2 linked regions of the Daphnia pulex genome follow. The protein of the gene in region 1 binds, or shares a complex with, the protein of each later gene. Links are inferred from orthologs where the notes say so. Each region holds a gene or a part of one and is shown in the gene's direction. Other genes may lie near its edges.

Evidence for each region. Proteins that work in one complex are often made in the same cells at the same time.
Region 2: GATOR complex protein WDR59-like (region 1) and GATOR complex protein NPRL2-like share a complex: the UniProt entries of both Drosophila melanogaster proteins name them as parts of the GATOR complex. The link is inferred for Daphnia pulex from reciprocal best matches to the Drosophila melanogaster genes Wdr59 and Nprl2.

Annotation. Positions count from the first base shown.
Region 1 is NC_060019.1:12,024,815-12,035,773, reverse strand, and holds GATOR complex protein WDR59-like, read left to right. Parts: upstream 1-1,467; 5' UTR 1,468-1,497; coding exon 1,498-1,508; exon of another isoform or gene 1,509-1,575; intron 1,576-1,794; coding exon 1,795-1,858; intron 1,859-1,937; coding exon 1,938-1,987; intron 1,988-2,105; coding exon 2,106-2,241; intron 2,242-2,302; coding exon 2,303-2,507; intron 2,508-2,576; coding exon 2,577-2,860; intron 2,861-2,974; coding exon 2,975-3,125; intron 3,126-3,189; coding exon 3,190-3,269; intron 3,270-3,342; coding exon 3,343-3,415; intron 3,416-3,490; coding exon 3,491-3,808; intron 3,809-3,901; coding exon 3,902-4,104; intron 4,105-4,169; coding exon 4,170-4,348; intron 4,349-4,432; coding exon 4,433-4,560; intron 4,561-4,641; coding exon 4,642-4,678; intron 4,679-4,751; coding exon 4,752-4,953; intron 4,954-5,058; coding exon 5,059-5,234; intron 5,235-5,321; coding exon 5,322-5,519; intron 5,520-5,594; coding exon 5,595-5,718; intron 5,719-6,128; coding exon of another isoform or gene 6,129-6,169; and 13 more. Other genes in the region: S-phase kinase-associated protein 1-like, read left to right, coding at 1-43, 191-399, 500-676; G-protein coupled receptor Mth2-like, read left to right, coding at 8,102-8,233, 8,309-8,983, 9,056-9,194, 9,265-9,451, 9,519-9,712, 9,816-9,957, 10,058-10,412; cytochrome c oxidase assembly factor 7 homolog, read right to left, coding at 10,518-10,959. UniProt on the Drosophila melanogaster protein: A component of the GATOR complex, which functions as a regulator of the amino acid-sensing branch of the mTORC1 signaling pathway.
Region 2 is NC_060028.1:1,954,137-1,964,759, reverse strand, and holds GATOR complex protein NPRL2-like, read left to right. Parts: upstream 1-5,048; 5' UTR 5,049-5,314; exon of another isoform or gene 5,315-5,392; 5' UTR 5,393-5,435; coding exon 5,436-5,498; intron 5,499-5,570; coding exon 5,571-5,688; intron 5,689-5,758; coding exon 5,759-6,007; intron 6,008-6,078; coding exon 6,079-6,215; intron 6,216-6,273; coding exon 6,274-6,371; intron 6,372-6,437; coding exon 6,438-6,568; intron 6,569-6,652; coding exon 6,653-6,695; intron 6,696-6,760; coding exon 6,761-6,887; intron 6,888-7,013; coding exon 7,014-7,193; 3' UTR 7,194-7,267; downstream 7,268-10,623. UniProt on the Drosophila melanogaster protein: An essential component of the GATOR subcomplex GATOR1 which functions as an inhibitor of the amino acid-sensing branch of the TORC1 signaling pathway.

The DNA of each region.
Region 1 (10,959 bases):
GCCAAGTGTTCAGTAACAATCAAAACAATGCTTGAGGATCTAGGTAATATTTTTCAATAAGCTTAATGTTAATGTAACAAATAAAATCAAAAGTTGCACCACAAAGATATTTATAGGCAAATGCGTCATTATTTTCTTTTCAAATGCTTAAAAAAGGTAACGTTCAATTGAAATTCAATTTTGGTTTTAGGAATGGATGAAGATGACGAAGAAGTTGTTCCTTTACCCAATGTCAATTCTGCTATTCTACGTAAAGTAATTCAGTGGGCAACTTACCACAAAGATGACCCCCCACCACCAGAGGATGATGACAATAAGGAAAAACGTACTGATGATATCTCATCATGGGATGCTGATTTCCTCAAAGTAGATCAAGGAACTCTGTTTGAACTCATCTTGGTAAGTGTTCATTTTCTGATATCACACCTATGAAAACATTCTACAATTGTTTTAAGTTAAAAATGTTAGTGAAATGTAATGTACATATTTTTGTTTTTAGGCTGCCAATTATCTGGATATTAAAGGCTTGCTGGATGTTACTTGCAAGACTGTTGCAAACATGATCAAGGGGAAAACCCCAGAAGAGATTCGCAAGACCTTCAACATCAAGAACGATTTCACCCCTAGTGAGGAAGAGCAAGTACGCAAGGAGAACGAGTGGTGCGAAGAAAAGTAAATTATCTCGACGAAATTTTGTTTTCACATGTTACATGTACCTTTGTATCCAACTTCATGTTTTCAAGCCAAGAATACAATAAATTAAAAAGCAGTTTTAAGTGTATAGTCAAACAAAAGAACAAGTTGTACGAAGTTCCGTAGTGCACTGGTGAATTAACTGTATGTTTTAAAACAGCTCGTGCTTTAGACAACCTCCCGTTTTGCCAATTATAATGTACAAGTTTTGGTTTTTTTGTGTGTGTGTGTGTGTGTGTGTGTCAGTGTGTTGAACACTGCATTATTTTTAGATTTTGTTTCGTTAGATGGTCTCCTGAAAATGAGCATATCAAGAAAAAGATAAAGGGACTCGCGGATTATATCCGGGCTTAGCTACTAGAAATGCTTTGCAAGTTAGACACCATCATTGGTTTTCATAGGTAGATGATAGGCATGATACCTTGACGGCTTGACCATTAATTTTATAATTTTCCCTGCATACGTTTTGTATGCATAATATGTAGTGTTTCTTATAATGTGCATAGATTGCATTTTCTTCGTAGAAATAATTGTTCACGGGAAGTCGGAAGAAAATGTTCACTGGTGCGTGCTGATGGTTGCCGAAAGTCTATTTAAAAATTAACTATAGATTTTAACTTAAAATGATCAGTAGTATTATTATGTAAGGGTCATGAGATGATGAGACATTGATTGAATCACCACTCCGGAATGCGGAAGCATTCTCAATAAGTTCCTTTGAATCGAATCGAATCGATTTGAATTCGAAAAAAAAAAAAAAAAAATCCTTGAATCGTCTGCTACTTGCTTGCGCGTTACGCCCTCATGAATTTTCGGTTCGTCTGTTCTGTTTATATTTTCTTCTTTCAACTTTTTCTATTTCTACTCCTCAATTTAAAAAAAGTAATCAAATAATTAGATTTAATGAAGTTTGTAAATTTAATACTAATTATAATGGAAAAATGGTGTTCTCAAATGGGAATTTTATTCAATAATATAGGCTAAGTCACCTAACTGAGATTTTCTCTACTCTGTCTTTGAAATGACATTATCTTTGTGTTTGTGTTTCAATTTCTGAGCTTTCAGTTTACTTGTTTTTTAATGTCTTCAATTTTTTCTTAGGGAGAAGAAAATGGCAGCCAAATGGAGTAATGAATATGTAGTTGCTGAACATAAGGATCTACAGGTAATAATACTGTTTTAATTTTGTTTTTTTTTACTTTACAAACAAAAATAAATAATAACAAGTGGGTTCTTTCATTTAGGCAAGCACAATGGCTCTTGATAGTTCTGGACAATATGTGCTATTGGCTGGGTAAATAAATTTTTGAATAACTCATTTAATAATTTTGATATGATTGAAGCACTCTTTGACATTCCAATTCATTCATAATTTATTAATTGTTTTTTGTTTTTATATTTTACTCTTCAAGACGAAGGTGCTTAGCAATTGTTGATGTTGACAATCCATCAGTAGTGATAAAGAAGTTTCCTCGTCAAAGCAAATGGGAGGTTGGATCAGCTGAATGGAATCCACACTCACATCTTTCACACCTATGTGCCATATCGGTATTTGTACTACTTCAATGTTGCATTTACCATGCAGATTTTTGAACAGTTTCTGTTATAGAGCAATCAACGAACAGAGATTCTTTCATGGAATTCTATTGACTTCACACCTCTCTATTGTTTACGTTTCCACACGCGTGCAGTCAGCGATTTAAATTGGCATCATTTTGAACCTTATCTCTTGGCTTCCTGTTCAGTTGACACTTATATTAACATATGGGATATTCGAGACCCTCGAAAGCCATGCGTTTCCCTCTCTGCCGTAGGTAAAATAAAATGGGACAAAATTTAGTATAATACAAATAGGATCTGTATAGTCTAAATATTGTTTACAGTTGGAGCTACTCAAGTGCGATGGAACCGCGTTACCAGCCATTTACTAGCAACTGCTCATGAGGGAGACGTTCGACTATGGGACTGGCGGAAAGGGAGTTCCCCCGTGCAATACATTGCGGCACATTTGCACAAAATTCATGGGCTTGACTGGAGTGCTAACCAAGAATATCAGCTTGCTACTTCCAGTCAAGATTGTACTGTTAAATTCTTTGACGTAAACAATCCCCGTGTAGTCGAGAATGCCCTTAGAACCGTGTCTCCGGTTTGGCGAGCGCGATTTACTGTAAATATGACAATTTCTTAATTTTTTTTTTTTTTTTTTAGTTATTTGTGTGTGATAAATCAATAGTTAATAGAACTACTAATTAACGATATTTTTTTTCTTTTGCCTGTATAGCCCTTTGGCGATGGCATGATGACAACACAATTACGACGAGGAGAAAACAGTTTGCTACTTTGGAGTCTATCCGATTTGTCTAATCCGGTTCATTCGTTTCTTGGGAATAACGATCTAGTTCTTGAGTTTGATTGGAAATCTTCCCGTTCCGGTATAATCAAACGTTCAAATTTAAATTTTTGGACTTTGAAATTATTTGATTTTTATATGTTTAGATGACGACGACTATCAACTTATCACCTGGTCAAAAGATCAGAGCTTACGAATTTGGAGAGTGGATGTTAACCTTCAAAAAGTAGGGCGAATTCAAATTTCAATTATTTTTCTGGTTTATGTAAAAAAATATTTAAAAATATTCTTTTTGCCAGTTATGTGGCTATGAACCTGAAAATCAACCACAAATCGTATATGAAGAAAACGAATCGACTTATGACGTTACTGGTGACATAAATTCATTAATTATTAGCATGAAAAATCTGTTTTATATTGTATTATTTAATTATTTAATATGTTCAGCTGTTGACGCAATTTCAACAAAAAGCGACAAAGACATTGAAGTTGGGCTTGAAGTAGTGGAAGAAACCTATTTAGACCTTCACCATAGTTTGGCACCGTCTATAATTGTACCTGACTCGTTACGCCTAGCTGGACATAAAACTGTAGCAGCCTCTATAGCTGCAGCACAAGCTGTACTAACCAACACGTTATCACCAACATCCCATCGGAAAAAGAAGTCTGCGCTGTCAATAAACAGTAGCATCGTCGGAATAGATGCGATTTCTCAACCTGAACATTATTCATTCAACAAGGAAATCGACCAACTTAAGTCATTAGGTAAATTTATGTCCCAAATGAACTATTAGTAATTAACTGAATACGTAAACTTTTCCCTGGAATAAATTTGTGGTTATTTTTCTGTTTCTTCAGGTTCCATTGGTACTGATAACTCTATCAGTGTTTGCGATGTAGACGAGACACAACGAAGCTTAACAACAGTGATTCGCACTGCAAAGCATCAAATAATACTTCATATTTCTATGCCTCCATCGTATCCCGACGGAGCGATTCCAAATTTTCTATTCGGAAAAGGAACGACTATTGACAACAATGCCAGAAGCAAAATGTTAAAAGTATTTCGAGAGAGTTTATTCTTGCGTAACTCAAAAGATTTATTTGACACGGCGGCATTGTACAGGTTTTGAAACAAGCAGCAACTCTATCGTGCCGCAAAGGTCATCCGTCTATAGAGCTCGTGCTACAACAACTTCTAATTTCAGTCGATCAGTTAACACCAATTGATAAGTCAGAAACGGAATCGTCAAAGACCATAACATTGAATGTCAACTCATCAACTACCGGAAATACTCCTTTCAGGTAACATTTAATTCGTATTTAGTTACTTAGATGAAACGTATATTCAATATGCTACTAAACATAATTAACGAATCTGTTTTCTAGGTTACCGCAAACTGGTCTTGGGCATCCTGGTTTCCTACAGAATGGCGGTTTATTTGGTAGTCTAACTCATCATCAAGACCACAATATTCCATACCCTCGGTCATCCGGTGCTCGATTTTGCAGTGCTGGTAATGTCATTAAAACAAAAAACATAAAAATATCCTTCAGCAAACTGCTATATTGATTTGCCCTTGTTTTATTTTATACAGGTATGCTGATTTGTTTTGGTCGACCATCCTATTTAAGGTTTTTGATTAATTGAAATGATTAATCGTACGACTAGGAATTCATCAGTTCTATTTTATTTATATAATTGAAGGCGTGTGAACAGTAAAACTTCGGACACTTCAACTACACCTCGTTCTCTATCCGTGAACCAAGCTTATTCATCAAACTTGGTACAGCATAGCTTGGTAGCTTCATCAAATACGACTCCTTATGGATTGTTGTATCCGCCCGTTGCTCAAAGTCCGACCGGTGATCCGTCAGTCAGCATCTCGTCTTTTTATAACCAAGACAGGGTAGGCTATACTTGGAAGTATTTCCGTGATTGCTGACATTAGCCTTTTATTAATGAGATAATTCCATTGCTGATTAAATAACAAAATATTTTGTAATTCATTCAGAGACAGAAATCTCGAACTTCTAAGTCGAAAAATAGACTTTCCTCTTATAGCTCGTCTTCAGACGAAAATAAAAGGGGAGCTCAAGAGGCACGTCATCATAAGGTGGTCGGAATGGTGACGATTTACGATGCTTCTGGATTGATGCCACAGCAGTTAGAATTAGCAGAAAGATATGTGTTAGTTTATCTTTTATATATTTTCTTGTATAATAATTCCTTGAATCAGATTTAGTCATAGTTTCATTACATATTTTTATTCACCAGATTTAGCGATACTGATACGGCATGGATGTGCAACCAAAATGCAGCGGTTGCTGCGCAGTTTGGCAGAAAAGATTTGACTTACATTTGGTCGTTGGGTGCCCTTCTGGCAACTCCTACCTTGATACACGAAAATAATACCAATGACCTTGATACCCCATGGGCTCAAAATCCATTCGGCCGGAAGCTTCTTCATGCGATGTATGTATATGTGTATTTATTTGATCTCTTTAGCGTATACTTAAAACAACACACCAACATTATAATTTATTACAGTATCGACCACTACGTGAAATTACGAGATATACAAACTGTAGCCATGTTGTGTTGCGCATTTGGTTACAAATGTGATAGTCAGGAAACTTTCCGGCGTAAAACAACACGATCGGAATCGGGCAGCGTAAGTGTAGAAGCTTATTTTAATTTTTTAACATGAAATCTGGCATTCTGAAACTTGGTATCACGATTAATAGCACTAGAACCGATAAGCAAGGTCTTACGTTTGATTGTTAAAAAGGTGATCGTCGGATTGGCTTTTCTCTCGAGTGTTCTGATCATAAAATCTTTTTTTATTCTAATTTCTTCGTGCTCGGCTTCCGTTTCCTGATTGCAATCTGGTTTCGCCTTCCTTTTTCAGGGGAATAATTGCATTTCAAATTCTTTGTGGTCTGTCCTTTTGTTTTTGGTTTTTTTTTTTTTTTTTTTTTTTTTTAACTAAATTATCTTGCTCCATAATATCGCTACTTCTTTGTCTCAACATGCTCTCTCTAACACTGTGGCTTATTTCCTTGGTGCTGCTGGGATTTTGAGAATGCTGACTGCGGGATATCAATGAGTTTTTTTTCCTACAGCGCAACTTACGGTGGGGTTTAAAGGTAGGCATATATTCCTCTAGATTTTACCCCCACGTAAGTGTGATGGTTTTTTTACATGAAAAATATCTAATCACAATAGTGGAGAATATGAGTTTTCCTATTTTTCCTCGCTTTTTTCTCTTTTAAGCTCTTATGATGAGTGAACTTTAATTATTCTGATGTTCAACATTAGCCAGGAGAATCACCGTATCATACAATACACCCGGGCGACACAACTTTAGATAGCTGGAATGTCTTAAAACAAATACGTTCAAATTCGTGGTCGGATTCACTTGATGATTTTCGTCTTGCAACTCCTGGAATTAACTCTGTCCCAAGTGGTCGCCCTTTGCCAAGTAAGGGCTTCTCCTTAAATTTTTAGAAATGTTATCAATTTTGTCTGAATGGGTTTTTATTTCAGTCGCTTCCATTTTCCTACCCCACTCTGTGACGAGCGTCGTTTCAGTGAATGGGACTGATGGAAGTGAAGAGTATAAAGACAAGGATTTCAGGTTTGAAATTTTTAATAATTTTGAAATTTTGATCGCATTCACATCAAGAGTTTTTATTGTTGTTGAATTTCGTAACTAAGCGTTTTCTTTTCTCAATTTGATTTCAAGATTACTAGATCCGAAATTTAATGGATTATTTGACAACTACCGTCGATGTTATGCTGATATCCTTTATCGCTGGGGACTTCTCGAGGCTCGCGTTTTGGTATGCGGATTAAAAATAATAACTTCTTGGCCGTACTTCTTGAAAACCAATTTTGTCTATTCAAGGTTTTGAAATATTTATCCACTCCCATTGATCCTCATAGAGGCGTGGATTTCGTAACTGAGTGTGTTCCTTGTAGGACTACGGTTAGAGGGCCGCAATGCACCCTTTGCAAGCGTTTGCTTCTCAATTGCGTTATTTGTCGAGTTGTTGTAAAAGGTAACTATCTTAAAACCATCTAGTAAATATCAGTCATGTAATAGCGTTAGAGGTGGCATAATGGTTGAATCATTTATTTTCAGGCTCTGCGAGTTTTTGTCTGGTGTGCGGACACGGTGGTCATGGTAGATGCATGTCGCATTGGTTCACTGAAGAAGACGAATGCCCTACAGGATGTGGTTGCAACTGCTTGTTGGAAAATAACACTGTGTTTTCCGTCTGATAATATATTAAATCGCATTAAATACGTTGAGACAAAGAATACATTTGGTTTACAAAAAACTTTGAAACTATACAAATTTGCTACAAAAGTAAAATTTCCGTTATTCTCAGGTTAAAATGTTAAATTTCTTTTTTATAAGAAACAAACGGAATACTTTTTTAAATATTTTTGCAGAAACAAAAAATATTATTAACAAATTTTTAAAAAAGTCCCGATAGGGATTCTAATTACGTTTCGACCCCAAAGCGTCACTTTATCGTTTCGATTACTTTAAAGTGGTCGGTCAACCCCCTGTGCAGTCCGTGACGTATTCCTAATACACTCATTTATGAACGCTCGTTACAAAAGTTGACGTTTTCCTAGCGAGTGATAAATGAGGTAACGTGTAATCAAATGTTGCTAACCTTTTAGGGGATTGTGGCTTATGATGTATAGAGGATAACGAAATTGGAGTGGGTCACTTCCGAGTGTGTGTCGAAACAAAACGGAACGACGGAGGTTGCGGTTTCTTGAAAAGGATAATTCACTCGTATGCACCAAATTACCGTTTGTCGAAAGTGACACGGCAGTGAGTTGCGACGCTCAAAACTGTCGACTAGTGAATCACGTCAAGTTATCCAAATCGTTCGGGGAAAAATAAAAATCCCTCCTTTCCTAAGGCTGAAATCATAAATGGTAGGTGTTGTCCAATATTTCCTAGTTTAAATTATGACATTTAACAATTATTCAACATGCTTCATTCCATGTCATGCAAAACAGGGAAGTTCATAATGCGGAATTTCAAATCTATTTTGGAAACATTTTACTTTGGTTACGTTTGCTGGATGTTGGTATTATCCAGCTCAGTATCGGCCGTCCACTCCAAGACGCCTTTGACGAAATGCTGTTTGAATTATCAAGCTGTAATTAATAATAATAATATACATTAAAAAAAAAAAAGATTTAAAATTAACAAATAATATCAATACAATCTGCAGTACATGGCGGAATTGGACGTCTGCCGCGATTGGAAAGGCTCCGTAACCCATTCGAAAATGTCCGCGGCCCCGCCCGTTTATTCTGTGGAGAGGAGTGCTGAACCCACTCCCGTCCGCGTTGAATCAAACAGTTTTCAAATGACGCATCGCCTCAAACGCTGCCCAAAAGGCTACGTTGGAATGAGTTCCACGGAATTCAGATTTTACGAGGACGGCTCCATTTTCAGCCAAGACGAACACGTCACTTACCAATCCGGAGACTTTTGCATCCAAGAATCCTTTCCTTCCGGACAGTTGATAGCCCGCTACTGCGTCCGAGATCCGTGCAACCGCACAGACACCTGCATCCGTAAATGCTGTCCAACCTTCAAGGCGTTCGATATTTCCACGACGCGCTGCATCAATTACTCGAGCCAGTTGAACGTGACGCTTTACAATCAAACCGGCTATTCGCTTAACCTGAAATCCGAAGAAATGTTCGTTCGGGACGGAGTAGCTCCACAGTGTAAAGATGGCTACAAGCACAAGCTTCTCAATCAACACGATTACCATCTGAGATCCAACGGTCTATTATTCGTATTCCCCAAAAAACGATGCTCTTCACAGAGTCAGACTGATGTTGACCTAATAACGGATGAATATTGTGTTGATTATTTCATGGACGTTGACGGCACGGTAACTAGATTTGAAAAATACCTGGAATTAATTTTTCCGAATTTTCAATAAGCTTTTGGTGTAATAATGTAGTCCGCTCAACATGCTCTGGTCTGTGTCGCAGCCGATGATACAAATCCTATTTATTCCATCTTCTTGTTCATCTCGTCTTTCTTCCTAGTCGCCACATTCGCCGTCTACGCCCTCATTCCTGAAATTCGAAACATCCACGGTTGAAATATCAATTTATGCGCATTTTGAGTTCCAAAAAATAATCTTGACCATCTATAACACTATAATAGGTGTGGTTATCATGTGCTACGTTGTCTCCCGAGCTGCTGCTTACCTGATTTTTGGCACTCTCCAATTGGTTGGCACAACCCGATCGACTGTCGCTTGCCGAATTATGGCCATCCTGATTCATTTCTCCTACATTTCCACCTACACCTGGCTCAACGTTGTTTGCTTCGACATCTGGTGGACTTTGAAGTAGGAACAATTTCACGACTCTCTCTTGTGTGCACTCCAACTATATATATACATTTGGTTTGTGCAGATCCATGCAACCGTGTAGTTCCGTCAACACGGCCATCCGTCAAAATCAACTGGGCAAACCTTTTTTCGCTTATTCGCTCTATTCGTGGGGTCTGGCGGCCGTCATCGTAACAGTCGGACAGGTTTTAGATTATTACAAGACTTCCGAGGCCGTCATCAGACCCGAATTCGGAGAGGACACCTGCTGGTTTTCAAGTAAAAAATTAAAAAAGAAAAAAAAAAATTGATAATGTGACAGACTGACATTTACAGCTTTTTTAACTGATGACCATGAAAACACTGTGATATCACCCCACAGGTTACGGAGCCATGTTCGCTTACGTGTACGGTCCGGTTTGCGTCTTGATTTTCGTCGATATCATCTTTTTCGTCATGACAAGCATTCTACTTCGACGAGCTGGGATCGGGTCGGGAAATCGCCACTCCCGCGAGAAATACCGGTTGGTCTGCCATCTTTTCTTTTCTTCCCATCAATACATACACCGTCATAAATGTCTTCACTTTTTGGCATGAATCATTTGAATATATTTAATTCAACAGCTTGCGCGTCATTTTCGGCTTGTTCGTCCTGAAAATCGTTTCGTGGTTGGCCGAGTTCGTGGCGTACGCCATCGGCTGTCTCAACGAAGCGGCGTTCGTCATAGACGTCATCGAAACCTCGTCCAGCGTCCTGACTTTCGCCATCTTCGTCTGCAAGCCCAACGTTTGGCGCTTGTTCAAGCAGAAATGCCCTTGCCTGGAACGACTGGAACGCGCTCGCCCGTACAGCGCAAACTACGCCAACCGGAGCAGCAACCAACTGACGGCTTCGACCAACATTTCTTCCAGGGAAATCCTCCACAGCGACTTGATCAAAACCTTATCGCAACGTCGAGAATCTGATAAACCCGTTTAATCCCAGCCGAGACATGTCTGAAATATATACAAACAATTGGCCAGGCCTGTAATACAATTTTGCGAATTATTTTTATTTTTTTGGGACGCGCTACAAACTTGAAATTCAGGTGGTGGCGGGTAATTTGGGGGATTTTTCCGATAACTCCTTGTTGATTTTCAACTGCAACCGGCGGACTTGAAAGGTGTTGGACATTGGACCGTGGGTTTTCATTGGCAAAGCGCCGCTGAGATTAGCGCAGGCGAGTTTATTGCCCAGTTGGCATGCCTTGACGTCGTACTTGTAGGCGGTGGAAACATTCTTCTCCAGCAATCCCGGCACGCCGACCAGATAAGCACCTCCAGCCAGATAACAGCTGTCGTCACAGCCCAAATTGCAGCCTCGATCGAGCATTTCGACGACCAGCAAGTCCGGCTTTTCTTCATCAACAACTTGTCTGACGTTGCCATCCGAAACAATATCCAGGGCGGTGTTCAAACAGGACTTGGCTCGACCCAACTGGCATCCCTTGCGATCGTAGCGAAAGCTCTCGATTGGATCGACGCCA
Region 2 (10,623 bases), on another chromosome or scaffold:
TTGTTGGAGCTCCTCAAGGAAACCCCAATCCCTGTTCCGGCCACGACTCAGGCCTCAGCATAAGTAGCTAAATTGAGACAGTCACAGCAGCAACGACCAAGCTACCCGGCCCGATCCAACGAAGATCAAGCCTCTGGATTAACTCAGAATAAGAGTCCGAGCCAGAACTGCTGCTTAAAGCAGAGCACGAAGAGGAGGCGCTAAAACAGCCAGCTCTAAACACTCTTCCGCAAGGAGACCAGGCGGTGCAAAAGCTCGCGGAAGCCACCAAGAACCTTGAGTTATTGGTCGAACAGCCACTTGTGTAACTTTTTACATGTCTCTTGTTTGTCTAAATACAAACACTTGTAAAATATAAATAACTTTTTATGTTTTATTTCGATTAAATAAACATGTTGCATTCAGACCGAAAAGGAAGACACGACGAGACCTTTAGCCGGCTGAGACTGCAAAAAAGTGAGGCAGAAAAAGGAAATGAAGAATCTGAAAAAGGGGAAAATGGTAAAAAAAGAACTCCCGAGCCAAGTTGTTGTATTACTTTTCAAATAATTTGATTTGCCTTAAAACAAGAAACCTAGAATGAATCAAGATGATGAAGAATTGTGGAATTGCCCAACGTAAGTTTTTTTTTATTTACGAGTAATTTAAAATAATACCCAAACAATACAATTGTGCAAATACCTATTTCAGGTGTCAAGCTTTCAACAAGAAATGGACTGCTATAGCAGTCCATTTCTGGTAGCAGTTCTAGTTAGCAGTTCTAGTAGTTCTAGTAGCACAATTTTTAAATGAAACATTTACTGTAAGTATTTTATTCTACAACATAAATAATAATTTCAATATAAAAATAACATGTGACAAAAAATTAATTGTATTCTATATTTTAAAGGACTTGGGATTAATAGAGAAAACAATCCTTTGGAAAATGTCCCAAGCCAGCATGATCGACGCATTCCAGCGGGAAAAAAATTCTACGAAGGACTAAAGGAAAAGATAAAGGAAGCCAATCGCATATGTGGTAAGTTTTAACTACATAAAAAAGTGATAGTAGTACTAAAAGATTTCATTTCTTCAGAAATTATAGACAAAATGAAAATAAAACAACCAATTCAACGCTTGGTCTTCTACGATGTGCATAGACCCCACATAGGGCATATATGCCCTATGTGCTTGGAACCAAGTAATACAACTTAAACATTAAATAAATTACTTTCTAAGGCTGACATTCTTTACAGGGCTGGATATGGAGACTTATGAATATGTATCTTGTGACGCAGACTTTGATGTTTTGCCTATTGTTGTTGAGGAGGGAAGTTCTGATGGCGTAGATCCTGAAGAAAATGGTAAAACCTTTTAAAAACTAAATAGTTCATAAGTTCAGTCCCTCCACATCCACTTTTGTCCGATGCAGATGAGGCCATTGAAGTTGCAAATGTCAAGGCTCTTGACAACCCTGATGGTGGAATTGTTGGAGGAGCTGAATGTGATGCTGAAGGAAAGAATGAGGAGGTTGGAGAAGCAGAATCTGGTGAAGCAGACCCTCACATGGGAGAAGCCGTTAAAGAAGTGGAGTACAATGCCAAGGCTGAAGGAGAGAAGGAGTCTGGGGGTGAGAACGGTTAATGCATAGATATTAATATAGAATGATTATAATATTTTATAATTAATAAATAAACAGAGTTAGAGAAATCGGATGTTGCAGGGCCCAGCCGTATGAGGAAACGTCGTTTGACCAAGCGTGGTCCAAAGAATTTTAAAAAAAGTTTAACTTGGTCAAGGATTTTCAAAAGTACTGCAGTGCTTCGGGTAGGTTTTCCACACAAAAAAAACAATTTTTTTTACTGACAATAGATCTTAATTCTAGATACCGACTAAGTCACTGAGTGACACCTAACTATCCTTCAAAACTGTTTACCCTATGTTCCAAAACATTTGTTCTAATTTCATTGCTGCAAATAAAATTCTTTTTGGAAAAATTAAAAATGTTATACCTAGAATTACAGGCAGGTTTTGTTGGCAGACGTGACAGGAGAATTAGTTGCCCCTTATGGCCTTATGAGCATATTTGCAGTCAACGGATGAGTACAAACTAGGCCAAATCCAACATTCTTCACCAAGAACCTTGAGTTATTGGTCGAACAGCCACTTGTCTAACTTTTGTTGTTGTATTTTTATTTATGTGTTTTACTTAACTTACTTGCTACATTGAACATTTTTTTAGGGTGACCAAGGATATGCAAAGAGTGATGCTGTCCACATGAATATTGATGCACTTGAAATTGAATGTGCTACCGGTAACATTGGCTACTTTTGACAATACTGTATGTTGTATTTATATATGTATTCATAATTTGTACTTATTTGTCACATTGAATGTGTCTAGTTCCCAGGTAGCACACAGAGCTGTTACAGACTCATGTAACCGATCTGTTTCACATACTTGTGAAACAGGTCAGTATCAGGCTTGTTACATCTCTGTTTTACAGGAAATTTGTCTGGAATGGCTCTGTTTTACAGGATTTGGTAAAAGTTTGTTTCACAGATCTGGAACAGATCTGTTATCTTTCTGTAATACATAAATCTGGTTTTTAACTGTACTACAGACCTGTTACAGATCTGTTTTTTACTTGAGAAAATTGTTTCTGATTTAGCTCTGTTTCCCATGTTTGTCACTTGTCTGTTTTTACTCTGTATTTTCGAGTACAATATGTTTCTGTTCTGTGTCTGTACTCCAGGTCTGGTACGGGTCTGTATTTCCCTTGTAAGACATAAGTCAGTTATCATCTGTTCAGAGTCTGTACCCCAGGTATGGTACAGGTCTGTATTTTCTATGTAAAACTGAGTTCAATGATTATCTGTTCTGTGTTTGTACCCCAGGTATGGTACAGGTCTGTATTTTCTATGTAAAACTTAGTTCAGTGATTATCTGTTCTGTGTTTGTGCCCCAGGTATGTACGGGTCTTTATTTCCCTTGTAACACCTATAAGTCAGTAATCATCGTATCTGTGTCTGTATCCCAAGTATGGTACATGTTTGGATCCCAATGGAAAACTGAATTAAACGTTTCTTATATGTGTAATATCACTGCAATACCATGCAGTAAGAAGTTACACTCTAATAGTCAATGCAGCTAATGGCTATGAGTTTAGTTCAGTAGGCCTACTCGAACAACAACAATAGTTGTTTATCCACCGGACGGAGAAGTATTATTATACATAAATAGGTATAATAAAGACTTGTAATTGGTGTGGGGCCAATCTTGGTCTTGTTACTATCGGAAGAGACCAGTGGTAGTCATATGTAGCAATCAGTTTCGTGAGAGAGACATGTCAGACTGTTTGTTGAATGAACAAGTGTACAACTGTGAAATATACATCATTATGAAATATATCTAGAACATAATATCGAGTTATGGTGTAGTGGTTAGCGTACTGGCTTGTGAACTCAGAGGTTGATAGTTCGATTCCAGAAGGAGGCAAATCTTTTTTTTTCTTGAAAATCTGTTTTTGGTCTGTAAATCGTGATCCCGTTTTACGGATCTGTCACAGACCTGTATGACAGTCTGTAAAAGTGTGCCACTCCAAACAATTTACAGACTCTCAAAAACAGATCTGAAACAGACCTGAAACAGAGTCTGTGTGCTACCTGGGTTGGACTTTGCTGAAACTAATGATGCTGTCCACCCAACCTCTGACGCTACAGCAGTGGTAATTAATCATTTCAACTATTTTGGTTCCTGAATTAAACCTAATCTAACCTTTAATAATAATGTTGTTATTTCTATTTTATTTAGGTGGACCAAGGATCTGCAAATGGTGATGCTGTCTACGTGACTGTTGATGCACCTGAAATTGAAGATGTACCGGTAACATCAGATACTTTTGACAATAAGGTATGTTGTATTTCTGTATTCATAATTTGTACTTATTTTTCACATTGAATGTGTCTTTAGTTGGACTTTGCTGAAACTAATGATGCTGTCCACCCAATTTCTGACGCTACAGCAATTAAAGTTGAATTGGTAATTAATCATTTCAACTATTTTGGTTTCTGAATTAAACCAAAAAAAGTTCCCGAATCATCGATGAAGCTATTACGCCCATAGTGTAAGTGGTTATTGCCCAGACCAGACCCATATGACTGACCAAAGCATCGTAGCAATTGCAACGAGACTGCCAATAGCCATGAGGAGTGAAAGCTGTCATCTTCATCGACACTTCGGCCACAAAAACGAAGCTCAAACAAGAGCTGATAGTGACACTGGGACATTTTTTAGTCGAGATAAAGTTGCAGCGGCAACAAAAAATGTCCCCCTTGTGGGTGTGTTATAAATCATTTGGTAAAACTGGAAAAAGGGTATTTTTTTCTTATTCCAATAACTTTTTTGCTGTGTTACTTTTGATAAATGTAATTGAAAAAAGTAAAGAAGGATAAACGGGCTTCAAAATAAGACTAAGTGGGGATTTTCGGGTGTTTTTTTTTCTTATGTAGTATGAATTTTTAGTTTTGGGATTCCGCCATAAGCGCCGTGTTAAACACGGCGAAAAAATTTCTTAAATAAAAAACAATGTGTATAACTAATAAATTCATGAAAAAATAGTAAATGTCAATCAAATTGATTCAAATTTGCAACACATGTTTATTGATAGATAAACTATGATTACATGTATTAAACATTTATAAATCGTTATAATTATACCCCTAATTCCCAATTACAAATTTTCATTTACATTTTTTTAAACGATCCAAATGGTCGCTTTTGTCCTCCTTCATTGGTAATTAAAGAAAAAAAATTAGAAATAGTGTTCATGAAAAATTTCTAATTAAAATTTGTTCTAGGTATACTCGTATATTTTTCAGCTAAAATGACTGGACTACTTGGCCCTTGGTCCCGCCCCTGCCAAGCCCAATCTCCGGTCGTAATCAAACAGTTCAAATTCAAATTTTCGTTTTCGTAAATTTTTAGTGCTGCCCCTCCCGCCCCAGCCCAACTTCGGTCGTAAACTCGTAATCAAACAGTTTGTGATGAAAGACGATAAGATTGTCGCTACGCGGCGCTGACGTTGATGTTTATGTTTATGTGTAATCTGAGAGGCAGAAAATGGTCATTTCTTAGACACTTTTCCAGGTCCGATTAATCAGCGAATATTGCAAACTAATCAAATTCAAGTGCCTTGGACCTAAATCACTATAACTTCGTTACTTGAAAAATTTCCCTGTAAATAAGTGATGGCTTGAAATGGTGGCGTTTCTGTAAACAAGACCTCACATGGCGCTTCAGACGGTAGCCTAAATCAAATAAAGGGGCGATTTTGTGTGTTCCTTATCATTTTAACTAATTTTTTTGATTTTTAATGTGAATTACTCATGTTAAAGAAATCCTTTTTCATAGGTTGACTATCCAAGTGATATAGTCGAGTAAATCAAATAGAAAAATGATCAAAGCAATATTTTTTTCCGAGTTTCATCCTACGTTGGGGCCCAAAATCAGTTACCAGGTAATGGTGTAGTGGTGTGTAAAATAAAGTAATTTTGTTGTTTCAGTGCTTTGTCTTAATATCGATTAAAAGGTGCCAGAGGATTATGTTTCCAAAGAAATATTTGATGCAGTTAGTGTTTACATCATTCCTAAAGAGCAGCTGGACAGTTGTATCATTACAGTGAATGTACTAGGGCACAAGATAACAGGTTTTTATTCAAGAATTCTAACAGTCCAAGTATTTTGACTCATTACCATCCTTTTTTCTAAAACCTACAGGATATCCAGTGCGCATTTCAGATGAAAAATACCCACGTAACTTTCTCATTTTCAACTTGTGCTTTGTGTGTGACTCTGATGCCAGAACAGTGCAGTATGAGCTTGTAGTTAGGAAATTAGCTGAGCATTTGGTCACCCTGGAAGTTGAACAGAATTTTTTATCCACTGAATCCAACAGGGCCAAGTTGCCCAAAATTTTAGGTCAAATTCTAAGTGATCTCAATCGGGGTGGCTTGTGCACAGTTACAGGTAGGTACATGAAGATTCTCATTTTTTGTCTAACATTTCCGTTTCCGACATTTACAAATTGATTTGATCAGTTGGGACCTCAACACTGCACTTAAAAGTGATCCAAGTAGCTGCTGAGCCACCCCTGGTATTTGACCACCACGTTCCCGTGTTCACGTCAGAATTTTCTCCTTTAAAACAAGACTATTGGGACCTAACAACCAAACAGGTAAACGAAAATGATTCTCTTATTTTATTCATTTTAATAACCCTTTTTCGTGCGTAAGGTACTGCCATACATTGATGGACGCAGCCATGTCGCTAGAGTGGCAATCGAGGCCGACGTGGACATTGGTTTGGTCAAAGCCTGCATTCAAAATCTCTTGTAAGTCAATTGATATAGTAGTCAAGTGCTGTCCTTCTCTTGACCTTATTTTCTCTTTTCGGTTAGATATTACGGCGTCGTCCAGCTCATTCCCATCTTCCAGTACAGCAACATGTACGCCGCTACACCCAAACTCCGAGAACTGCCCATGAATTCAGATTTGAGTCGAGAGTGCATCGCTTTTGTTGCCAAATCTGGTAGAGAAGAATACCAAGTGTCTTGTTATCATCTTATCCACTTTTCAAGTTGACTGTGAATTTCTTCTCTCGTTTATATTACAGATAGACATCCTCCTTCCTTCCGAGATGTTTTCCAAATGTACTGGTGAGTTTATCCTCTAATTCTTATCAAATCCCCCCTAAATGAATTCATTTTGTAATCGATGACAGTGGGATGACGTACGGGACTACCATAAGAGACCTGTGCTTGCGCTTCAATCCGCACGCGCTTCGCATCGACGAACATCGGCTAGTCCAGTTTGGCGTCCTGCAGGGCATCATCCGCCGCATTTGCAAGGTTAGCGAGTGTGCGCTGTTGATTAATCCAATTGATTATTTCGATTTCTTCCTGGACGTCGGTTCTCGAATAACCCATTTCCCATTGAACTGATAACTCAATTTGCACGCTGTTTGAATGGGCTAGTATCCGGTGTACAAACCGGAGACGCAGCGCGGATCGCACAAGAAACAGATGACCTCGTTGCATCGGCTGTGCACTGGAGTGGCCTCTTACGACGAGATCTGCTGCCGCACCGGACTGTCCTACCACGAACTGGACGACAAAATCGAAGCCGATGTCGACATCTGCGTCCTGTGGAAGTGAAATCCGTTCCCTCCGACCCCATATCTTTTTGTATCATTTGATTTAAGTTTCAATAATAAATTTTATAATGGCCACTTTTTTTTTCTTTTCGATTGTGGAGGAGCAGCAAGTTCAACGGTCGTTGGTGAGGATCACCTTGCACGTCTTTCCCCATCGTTTGCAATCGGATCCGTCTTGATTGCACACACACACAACCCACCAAGTCCTCTCGATCCTCCGTTGTTATCACGCCACTTGGGATGGTGGTGCTGCCCCGGTGTCGAGAGATGAACGGGAACGCCCGCCTTCGTGTTTGGCGATTCGTTAGGAGTCATTGCTGGCTTCCCACCGTCTTGAAAGTCGAGCGAGTTATATAGTAGAATGCCTGTGGAATTTATTTTTTTACCGTTTCCCCTTGCGCTAGACAAGGTGGGGGGCACTCACGCGGGCGAGTTATATTTCCAGCAGCCGTATAGAGAGCGCGGGCTGGAAGGTACACCAGTAAATCTGTCGGCTAGTTGACAATCTTTTCGGCTGTTAAAACGGCGGGGGGAAAAATAGACGAAAAAAGAAACAAAACAAACAATAAAGAAAATAGAAGCCCCCACACACACACCCCACACAAAAATGGGACTGAACTTCCCACCAGCGTAGTAGCTATGCCACATTGGCCGCCACCCAAAAAAACAAAAAACCCTAATAAGATTTACACGCATCAACATGGCGACGGGAGGCCAGAGAATTTTTTTTTTTTCTTTTTACAAATAACACGAAAAGAAAAGATAAAAGCCTCTCTTGCTACTGTTTCTTTCAAAGTAGCTCCCAAAAAGATACATAAGAGCGTCGCCAGGCTAGCTGCTGTTTAACAACATATTTTTTTGTGTTTCCTTTTTTTTTTTTAGAAAAACCCCAACCAAGAAGTTTATGCTGATAAGGAGTCGACAAGCTTGTCGACAAGTGTTGTTAAACCGACGCACACGGTCACCCACCACTTGGGCCTATCTCAATGGGGGCTGCTGCTGCTACTCTCCTACACACGGACACTTCTCAAAGCGTAAATATGTTTTTGTTTGGCGATTCAACTCTTTTTAATTATTTACTATGTACACATAATTGAATTGGTTTAATTATTCTGCATTCAGATATTTGGAATAATAATTATATAGAAAATACTATAGGCTCCGCCAGTTTAATATTACACCCCAACTTCCTGCTGGGCGAACCCGAGAGCCGGCCGATTGGAGCGATTAAATGTCGATCGATTTCCTTAGTAGACGCGATCAACCCTATACGCCGTAGATCTTAAACTGTACATGTGTGATATGCGTAGATATCGAATTTGTCGCTGCTGCTGTGAGGAAATGGTCGATTACACTCGGCTGTTTTTAGCGATGGCTATCAATAATCGACGTCCATTAATAATACGCCGCCATTTTCAGCTTCTAGTCGCCCGATGACTGTGTCGTTTTTCCACAGACTTGGATTACTTTCATCAATCGATCGTTGCACTCCCACCCAACCGCCCACAAATATGCAAATCCGGTCTGAGGGCGCCCAGGAGTTCATAGGGGCCGATAAAAGCACACGCGATATAGTTTTTGCTGGTAGTAAAACCACCAAATCTTTTTTACCAAAACGAGGGACGTGCTAATTTGAAAAAAAGTTTGATGGACGACATTGTGCCTGTCATATTCCACCCTTCCACCCCCCACCCCTCCTTTCAAGACTATTTTCTCGTCTCATTACGCAGGCGCGCAACCCGTTCGTATTCCTTCCCTAGCTGATTGTTTTCTTCTTCCTATGTACTAGGAAAAACTCCGATGTCAGCAGCAGCAAACGGCCTGGAGACCCCATGCTGCAGGTCATCATTCTTTTTCTTGTGGCCCCGAGACTTGTGTGTGTTGCTGGTTCCACATAGTCGCGGCCGTTATAACGTCGTGTAGACATAACCCCTGAGCGCGCAGTTTGTGTTAGCTACGGTTACACACAGCAGCAGAGACACACACAAACACATATGGAGTCGAGTTATTTTTTTCTGTGTGTGTCTTATTCGAATGGCAACGAAAAAAAGGAAAATGGAGACCACAACCAGATTGCGTATCCTCTTCTACTTTGTTCGTGCACCCACCACCATCAACACACAGCAGACACAGGTCTCCTTTTTCGCGCCCGGATATGACCTGTCGCGCCATCCTCCTCACCATCGGGTTTTTTCTCTACCCCAAAAACTTCTTTGTCAGCGCTTAACTGGAAGAAGAATCTATTCATCCAACAACTTTTTGACGGATGAATTTCTCGCCCTTAACTTCATTCATTTAAGTCGCGTGTCGTCCATGTACTACGCGGAAGAGGGGGGTGGGGCCTATATAGGCCTGCGGTAATAGGACACTGATTTGTTTATTTGTAATGCGCCGGAGTATATTACATATCCAAAACCGGAAGAGTTTGGTTGTCTAGCCCCAATAATGTTTTTTTAAAATTGAAAAAGGTTATTCACACTTTAATGAAGAAGCTGAACTCGATTTGTTTTCGCTGAACACCTTCTTCTTCTGTACATTATAGTCAGTCGAGTTGAATCTGCTGAAATAGGAGCCGTTGAACTGGCTCCTAGCTGGATATGCCCGTCACTTGATCGCCAATGAAATGCCCAGAGCAGACAGCAGACGAGGCAAAGTCATCGACCACTCGGATTCGGCACGGTAGATGTGCCCGCTGGATGGCGTCGGCCGTAATGAGTTAATTCAATCATCCGTCCATATGAATAATGCCATGGATAAAACAGCACCAACCCCCGCCCATTAAACACGTCAACAACCCAATTGAGAAAAAAAAAGGGTCAGAAAATAAGTTGAACGGCCGTAGTGTCATCTTAGACGGACCGGAATGAGAGACCAGATCTCGCACTCTAACATCATTATAGGAAGTAAATGTAATCAAAATCAAGAGTTGTTGACAGTCGGCGATGATTATGCAAATATCAATCGTCATCATTTGAATGAACGTCGACGTAACAGGCCGCTAAGATGTTGGGAATTAGCAAATTTCCCCATCGTCCAGACGGAGGGAGGGAAATAAATAAAAAAGCGGGCGACGGGCCGGAATGACCGGAATCGAAAGCGACAAGGAGAGACCCACAAATTTTATTCTCTTCCGTCGCGGAGTAAAAAGAAATTCCCGTCGGTCCCAGTTCACAGAAAACGGGGTGGGGTGGGGTGGTGCGCATAATAACATGCAACCAACAAGAGGGGAGGAAGTCGAAGAAGATGTTACGACGGATGATTTACTATTCGACAACTCCGCACTTTAGATAGTATTGACTTCCGACCATTTAAATTATTTACACTCGGCCTATAGACACACACACTTTAACAGTTGTAATAATTTTTCGTACATATACTTTGTGGCGCCAGGAGAATAACAACTCAATCATCAGCTGTTTCTACTTGTTGAC